Macaca mulatta: one gene and its partner. The protein of the gene in region 2 purifies or fractionates together with the protein of the main gene of each other region. This does not show direct contact. Links are inferred from orthologs where the notes say so. Each region holds a gene or a part of one and is shown on either strand. Other genes may lie near its edges. The genes, in order: HBS1L and EXOSC4.

Evidence for each region.
Region 1: the proteins of EXOSC4 (region 2) and HBS1L purify together in Homo sapiens (affinity purification with mass spectrometry; 3 studies listed by BioGRID and IntAct, with this or other methods). This does not show direct contact. The link is inferred for Macaca mulatta from reciprocal best matches to the Homo sapiens genes EXOSC4 and HBS1L.

Annotation. Positions count from the first base shown.
Region 1 is NC_133409.1:40,072,278-40,076,092, forward strand, and holds part of HBS1L (HBS1-like protein), read right to left. Parts: intron 367-3,815; coding exon 220-366; intron 1-219. UniProt on the Homo sapiens protein: GTPase component of the Pelota-HBS1L complex, a complex that recognizes stalled ribosomes and triggers the No-Go Decay (NGD) pathway.
Region 2 is NC_133413.1:154,461,137-154,465,115, forward strand, and holds EXOSC4 (exosome complex component RRP41), read left to right. Parts: upstream 1-1,340; 5' UTR 1,341-1,459; coding exon 1,460-1,630; intron 1,631-2,665; coding exon 2,666-2,872; intron 2,873-2,963; coding exon 2,964-3,323; 3' UTR 3,324-3,365; downstream 3,366-3,979. UniProt on the Homo sapiens protein: Non-catalytic component of the RNA exosome complex which has 3'->5' exoribonuclease activity and participates in a multitude of cellular RNA processing and degradation events.

The DNA of each region.
Region 1 (3,815 bases), on a different chromosome or scaffold from region 2:
TTAAAACAATTTTTAGGTTTTAAAAATTAATTTTGAAAATAAGATGTTCTTGCTTAAAAATTACTAGCACCTCTTTTAAGATGAGAGCAGAGAATTTATTTTTTAAAACATGGCAACTGACTAATAAAATAAACACTAGTGACATCTGAGGTCATCTATATGAGCAGAATAACATCTTAATTAGCATCTTAAACAAATCTTCACAAAGCCTTTAAATACCTGATCCATTTTATTAACTGCAACAGCAAGCTGCGTCACTCCCAGAGAACGGACCAAGAGTCCATGCTCTCGTGTTTGTCCTCCAGTCTCAAATCCAGCTTCAAACTCTCCCCTGCTGGCATCTACAACTAAAACAGCTACATCCGCCTAAAGAAGAAAAATAATTGAAACCAGAAAAAATGTTTCAGCATTTTAATTCAAAGGACAGATTATTCAATTAATTATGTTGTCAAATTTTTAAAGGAAGACCCTAACTACCCCCATCAAAACAAATCAAACAAAAGACTCCCAAAAATGGATTAAAATTTTAAATAAAAGTCACCAAAAATAATGACATAAAGACCAAGAAAAAATGGCCATATTTGATTATATAACAATTAAAATATCTAAGCAAAGGAGGAAAAATATAAACAAAATTAAAACATAAATAAACAGCAACCAGGCACAGTGGCTCATGCCTGTAATCCCAGCACTTTGGGAGCTCAAGGCAGGCATATCACCTGAGGTCACGAGTTCAAGACCAGCCTGGCCAATATGGTGAAACCCCATCTCTGCAACAAAAACAAAAATTAGCCAGGTGTGGTGGTGCACACCTGTAGTCCCAGCTACTTGGGAGGCTGAGGTATCAGAATCACTTGACCTGAGAGGCAGAGGTTGCAGTGAGCTGAGATCGCACCACTGCACTCCAGCCTACTCGACAGAACAATACTCCGTCTCAAAAAAACAAAAAGCAGTAAACAGGGAGGGACAAACATTAGTAACACATAAGGTAAAAGTTATAATCTCTATAGAGTCTTTACAAAAAAAAACAAAAAAGAAGACATAGCTTTAAAGGATACAAGCAAGCTATTTGCTAAAGAAATATAAATGGTCAACAAACATGAAAAAAATTCAAATTCAGTAGAAACCAAAAGTTTTAAAAAGTAAAATAAAAACACATTGACATATTCCCCCTCTCCCATTTTTACAAATCACATTGTTAAAGATTTAAAAGACAAAATTATTTGCTGTAGGCAAGGGTGCAGTGAGAAGCGCATTCTCAAATATTGCTTACGGGACTGTAGGTACACCACCTTCCAGGGGGTATTTTCACGAAAAGTATCAAGAACTTAAAAATTATACATATTTTACTTCCCATCAATTCCACCTCTAGGAATTTATCCCAGAGAAATAATTATAGATCTACAAAGATATTCATCAGAGTATTGTTTATAATGAAGAAAAATAACAAATATATGAATTATCAAAAAGCAGCATATTCATCCTCTACAGCTATTGAAAAAAAGCCTTGCATAACAAAGTTTTCTAACCTGTGTGGACCATCTTGTGAATCAGATAGAAAGACATTTCTTTCAGACTCAAATTACACACCCCACACAAGAAGAAAGCTAACCTTAGCTTAGCTCAGTTTCTTTGTTAGCCTTATGGAAACTAACGTTACAGGTTCCCACTATTCTTTTGTGTTGATGCCGCTTGCATCATGTGGGTACAGCCTTTTAAAATGTGCAATAGACAGTCTGAGCAACCACAGACGTTCCCCCTTTTCATTCTAATCAATTATTTCTGTCAATGCACTGTAGGGGCATTTTTTAAAGAACACTTTTATTTTCTCTTTTACAGCTTGTGCTTTGTATGCATACCTGTTTGTCACAGAAATCCACTTTTCTGAAATCTAGGAAACAAAGACTACACCTGGCATTCCCCTTCCCCTCTTTAGCTATCTTGGACTGTTACACAATAATCACTTTCTCTCTAGGGTCCTCTTATATTCCATCCACATTATTGAGTTCTCCCGCTTTCTGGTCAGAACAGAGTCCACAACAGCTTGTTTCTTTGTTGCTTCCCCAACGACCCCTTTATTTCTGTGCTCTCCAGTTTTTAAAGAATTTCAGATATCATATATAATCCTCACCATAATGGAAAATAAATGGTCATAAAATATGTCAGGAATGTCTCAGATATTTTCTCACAATAGAACATTACAATTTAAATTGAAGTACCATCCATATACTTTGTCTGGTGGGATAATTTACACTATTCCTGCTTCCTTTTACTCGTACGTAAATACTCTTGCTTTGTCTCTACTCTTAAGTGCCATCTTCACTTCCAATCCTTCATATTTTATAAAGCTGAACACTTATTTCCTCAATGAGATACAGTTCTTTTGATCAAGGATTCTTAGATAAGAATAAGCATACACTGAAACAATCAATTTGAAAATTGGCTCTTTCACGCATGCTTGTAGTCAATAACCGTTCTCCACACCTCAGGCAAGTTGTCTAGCCTCTCTGCATTATCAACTTACTTACTTCATAGAAACACTAGGGAGTAAATATAGTTTATATAGAACATCCATACCTGAACTTCCAAGTCCTAGGCTCAGTAATTGACAATCTTTTTCTCATTAGGTTTTCATAATAACTGTAAAATTATATTTACCTTCTTAGGTTAAAATGTAAAATTCATTGAATTGGTATTAAGATACATAAGGCCACAAATGTTCTATCTAATCTTCCTATTACCATCTCCAAAACATTTCTGGGCAATTTCTCTATTAATATTATTTCTAGGCAGCAGCTCTTGCCTTTGGGAGTCCAAATGCCTACTATGCATTCTCAAGGAAGCCTTTGATGATCAAGCAGAATAAAGTGATCTCTCTCCACAACGCGTATCTTCTCTGTTCTTGGAGTGCAACTGTTAGCCTTTCATCTTCACGTGTCGTCTTCTACACTGTGATTTCCCTGAGGTGAGGCAGCATGCCTCGTATGCTTCTTTGTGTCCCCAAAGCCCACTGCAATATTTTGCACACTCGGCAAGTTACTTAACATCTTTGAGTCTCTTTATTTATTTGTTACATAATGGAATTCAATTAGATGATCTCTAAAATCCTTTCCCACCATAATTCCATAAAGAGTTTGGAATAAATGATTTTTGGTTTTTGAGGCAGGGTCTTACTCCCTTCCCTCATGGCTCACTGCAGCCTCAACTTCCTGAGCTCAGGTGATTCTCCCACTTCAGCTTCCTGAGTAAGTGAGGCTATAGGCACCTGCCACCACACCCAGGTAATTTTTTGTATTTTTAGTAGAGACAGGGTTTCGCCATGTTGCCCAGGCTGGTCTTGAACTCCTGGGTTCAAGTGATGTGCCCACTTCAGCCTCCCAAAGTGCTGGGATTACGGGTGTTAGCCTCCATCCCTGGGTCTGGAATAAACGATCTTTATAATAACTATGCACTCTAAGGTTCTAGAATTCAAAAGCATTTTTACTATAACTGCTTGTTCCGGTGTTTGTCTCACTCACTAAACTATCAGTGCTTTGTAGGCATTGTATGCCCACACTGCTACCTCAGTGCTTGCTACACAGCCAGGATTCAGTAAGTAATCAATGAAAAAAAAAGAAAAAGACTCACAGACATACACACACACATACATATACACATATAAGGAGAAATCAAAACTATATTGTATTCTTTGGTAAATGCAATGAAAACTACAGTTTCCCACAGTATCAGTGAGGGATTGGTTCCAGACCTCCCAACCCCTGTGGATACCAAAATCTATGAATGCTTAAGTCCCTTTTACAAAACAGGATAGCCTT
Region 2 (3,979 bases):
AAAAAACAAAACAAACAAACAAAATGACCCAGTAAGAACAGGGACAGGAAGAGCTCAGACTGCAAGGGGAGAAGGGCCTGGGCTGCTCCACAGTACGCAGTGTCTGGCTGCAGAGCCAAGGGTGGGGAATCGGTGGTGGCCAGTGGCAGAGGATAGTGGCCTATCATGGCCTCATACCAGCTGCAGCAGCAGGGCTGTGGCTTGCTCACTCATTCTCATGCCTCTCAGTCTTTCAGGAGAGCATAACCACCTCTAAGGGGATGCTGAACTTGGGCCCCTGCAGCAGACTGCATTTCCCCAGCCCACCTGCTGTTCCTACAGTCTAATATTGACACTCCTCCCACTGAAGGGTGGGGTCCCTGTCCCCATCCCTTAAGCCTGGGTAGATGTGTCTGACTGCCTTGACCCACAGAGTCTGGCAGGAGGGACACTATGTGACTTCTGAGGCTAGGTTCTAAAAATATCATGCACATGTTGTCCATCTCATTGTCCTGGAAGGCTACCCTTGGAACCCAGCTGCCATATTGCAAGGAAGCATGGAGAAGCCACAGGTAGGTGTGCTGCCTGACAGCCACAGATGAGGTCCTGGCCAGCCACCAGCATCAGCCACCAAAGATGTGAAAGAGAAAGCTTTAGGATGGCTCCAGCCCCAGCCACCATCTGGCAGCAACTGTAGGAGAGAGCCTACGTGCAAACTACCTAGCTGAGCCTAGATAACCCAAGACTGCAGGATATAATAATAGAATGATTGCTATTTGAAGCCGCTGAGGTTAAGTGGCAAGAGATAAACAGACACACAACCCCTCTCTGGAAAGGATGAGGAAATCTGCAACCTCAAAAGGAAAAGGGAGGCCCACTCGACTGCAGTGTGGAAGCTCGGTGTAAAGGGAGGGCATGAGAGGACTGGAGAGGTGCCAGGTGTGGACCATCCTCGGACACCAGCCTGGTCACTTTTCTAGGACCGCTCAATGCCTTCTCCTGTCAGTGTCGCAACCCACTGGGTTCATCCTTCCACTTCCACACTTGGGGCGCGGGGAAGGGCTGAATGTGGGCACCACTGGTCCCGAGGGCGTGACGGGAATTTCTCCTTCGGCGGGCGCCCACCTCCTGGCACCCGTGGCACAGCTCCGGGAACGGCTGCGGGCTCAACCGCTGCTTCCCCGACAGCGCCACCGCAGTTCCCCGGAGACAGAAGTGAAGCCGAACCGCCAGAAACCGTAGATCCAGGGAGGTCGGTGCCGCGAGGAACTCCAGTTCCCCGGGACCGGAAGTGACAGCGGACCGCCGGAAACCGTAGATCCAGGGAGGTCGGGACCGCGGGGAGCTGTAGCTCCCCGGAACCGGAAGTGATAGCGGACCGCCGGAAACCGTAGATTCGGGGAGGTCGGAGCCGCAGGGCGCTGTAGTTCTCCCGCGAATCAGAGAACTAGGCAGAGAGCGGAGCTGGCGGCCGGGCAGCATGGCGGGGCTGGAGCTCTTGTCGGACCAGGGCTACCGGGTGGACGGTCGGCGCGCCGGGGAGCTGCGCAAGATCCAGGCTCGGATGGGCGTGTTCGCGCAGGCTGACGGCTCGGCCTACATCGAGCAGGGCAACACCAAGGCGCTGGCGGTGGTCTACGGCCCGCACGAGGCGAGTGGGCGTGCGGGATGGGAATCGCGTGACCGCGGGATCTGCGGGGCAGCCGGGCTGAGCACAGGTTCGGGGACTTGAGAGGTGCGGCCGGCGCGCCTCAGTCTACACAGCCGATGCTCAGCACTGCATCTCACTCGGAGTAAATGCAAGTCTTTAGTGTGCTGCGCGGTGGTCCTGCCTTTCTCATCGGTCTCTGTGCCTGCGCTCTCCCTCCTCTTTGCGGCTCTTCAACGTGCCAGGCACTCCCCCACTCGCTCCCTCTCCTCTCAGCTCTACTCCGACGTCACTCCTTCCCAGACGGCTTTATCCATGCGGTACTTCTCTCCCTACAATAAACCCTTGTCTTTTGTGCATCTACAATCTCAAATGCCTATTTTGCTTAAGCATTTTCCCGTTTCCTCGCTAGAACATAAGCTTCCTAAGGACAGAAACTACATAAAACTCTCTGGTTTCATTGCTGTGTTTCCAGCGCTGTAACTGTGCCTGGCCAGTGAAGGTATTGAAAGAGTGTTTGTTTAGCGCATGAGGGTAGGAGCTCTGCTTTCCAGGCGGAGGGAACCAGGAGGGCGAAGACCACGGTGGTGAAAACAAGCAAGGCACTTATGCATAACAGAAAGACTGCTGGTGGGGAAAGAGGGGATAACTCTAAATAAGGTTGAGAGTTCCCGGGGAGGTGAGGAATTAGGGTTTTGTAGACCAGGGAAATGATTTGGGATTTTATATCATATGTAATGTGAAACCTTTGTAAGGTAATTAGGATTTGAGTGTGAAGGTGAGACAGAATCAGCCTTGATGTTTGTAAACTTGGGTTGGCAGGGAATGGGGCAAGGATGGGCACAAGGAAGCCAATTAAAAGATGCCAGAGGGCAACACATGCAAGACAGAGAGTGCAAAACAGGGGGCTTTGTTTTGGAGGTAATGTAGTTGCCCCTTGCTGAGGCATTGAAAGTGGAGGGAGAGGCAGACCCACAGAGGACAGTGGCGTGTGAGCTGGAAGGAGTGGGCCTGGCTCATGTGTCCGTCCTCTTCCAGATCCGGGGTTCCCGGGCTCGAGCCCTGCCGGACAGGGCCCTAGTGAACTGTCAATATAGTTCAGCGACCTTCAGCACAGGTGAGCGCAAGCGACGGCCACATGGGGACCGGAAGTCCTGTGAGATGGGCCTGCAGCTCCGCCAGACTTTCGAGGCAGCCATCCTCACACAGCTGCACCCACGTTCCCAGATTGATATCTATGTGCAGGTGAGCCGGCTGCAGCGTCAATCCAGGGAGGGGTGGGTGTGATGGGGTTGGGGAGAGAGTCTGATAGACTCACACCCTGGGGTCCCTGCAGGTGCTACAGGCAGATGGTGGGACCTATGCAGCTTGTGTGAATGCAGCCACACTGGCAGTGCTGGATGCTGGGATACCCATGAGAGACTTTGTGTGTGCGTGCTCAGCTGGCTTTGTGGACGGCACAGCCCTGGCGGACCTCAGCCATGTGGAGGAGGCAGCTGGTGGCCCCCAGCTGGCCCTGGCCCTGCTGCCAGCCTCAGGACAGATTGCGCTGCTTGAGATGGATGCCCGGCTGCACGAGGACCACCTGGAGCGGGTGTTGGAGGCTGCTGCCCAGGCTGCTCGAGATGTGCACACCCTCTTGGACAGAGTGGTCAGGCAGCATGTGCGTGAGGCCTCTATCTTGCTGGGGGACTGACCACCCAGCCACCCATGTCCAGAATAAAACCCTCCTCTGCCCACACAACCCTCACTGTACGTTAATCACCCAACAGCACTTCAGAGCCATGTGAAGCCTGGCAGAGCCTGGTCTGGTGCTGGCTCCTGGGGATGACCAGGGCCCCTCGCCCACACATGAACTGCCTATCTCTGTGTAGCCTAATTCAAACCCTGAAGAGAACAGTGGATTAGGGGGTTGCTGTGGGGGAGGTCCTGGGTGGAAAAAGCAACATGTCCCAGTAAGGACTCAAGGCAGCTGAGCAGGAGGCAGGGCCTGGCAAGATGAGCCAGGTCATTGGACTGAGGAATCTGTTACCCTTACTCTGGCACATCCAGGGCCCTGAGCAAAGGGCTGAGGGAGAACTCAGCTGGCTCTGAGTACCCAACCTAGAGATGTGGGGGCCATGTCCCATGGCCTCTGGACTATGGCCTGGAGCCCCTTGGGCTTTTCCTGCTGCTTACCTTGGGCTCTAAAAAATACAACAGCCAGGCATGGTGGCTCACACCTGTAATCCCAGAACTTTGAGAGGCTGAGGTAGGCGGATTGCTTCAGGTCAGGAATTTGAGACCATCCTGGCCAACATGGTGAAACCCCGTCTCTACGAAAAATACAAAATTAGCTGGGGGTGGTGGCAC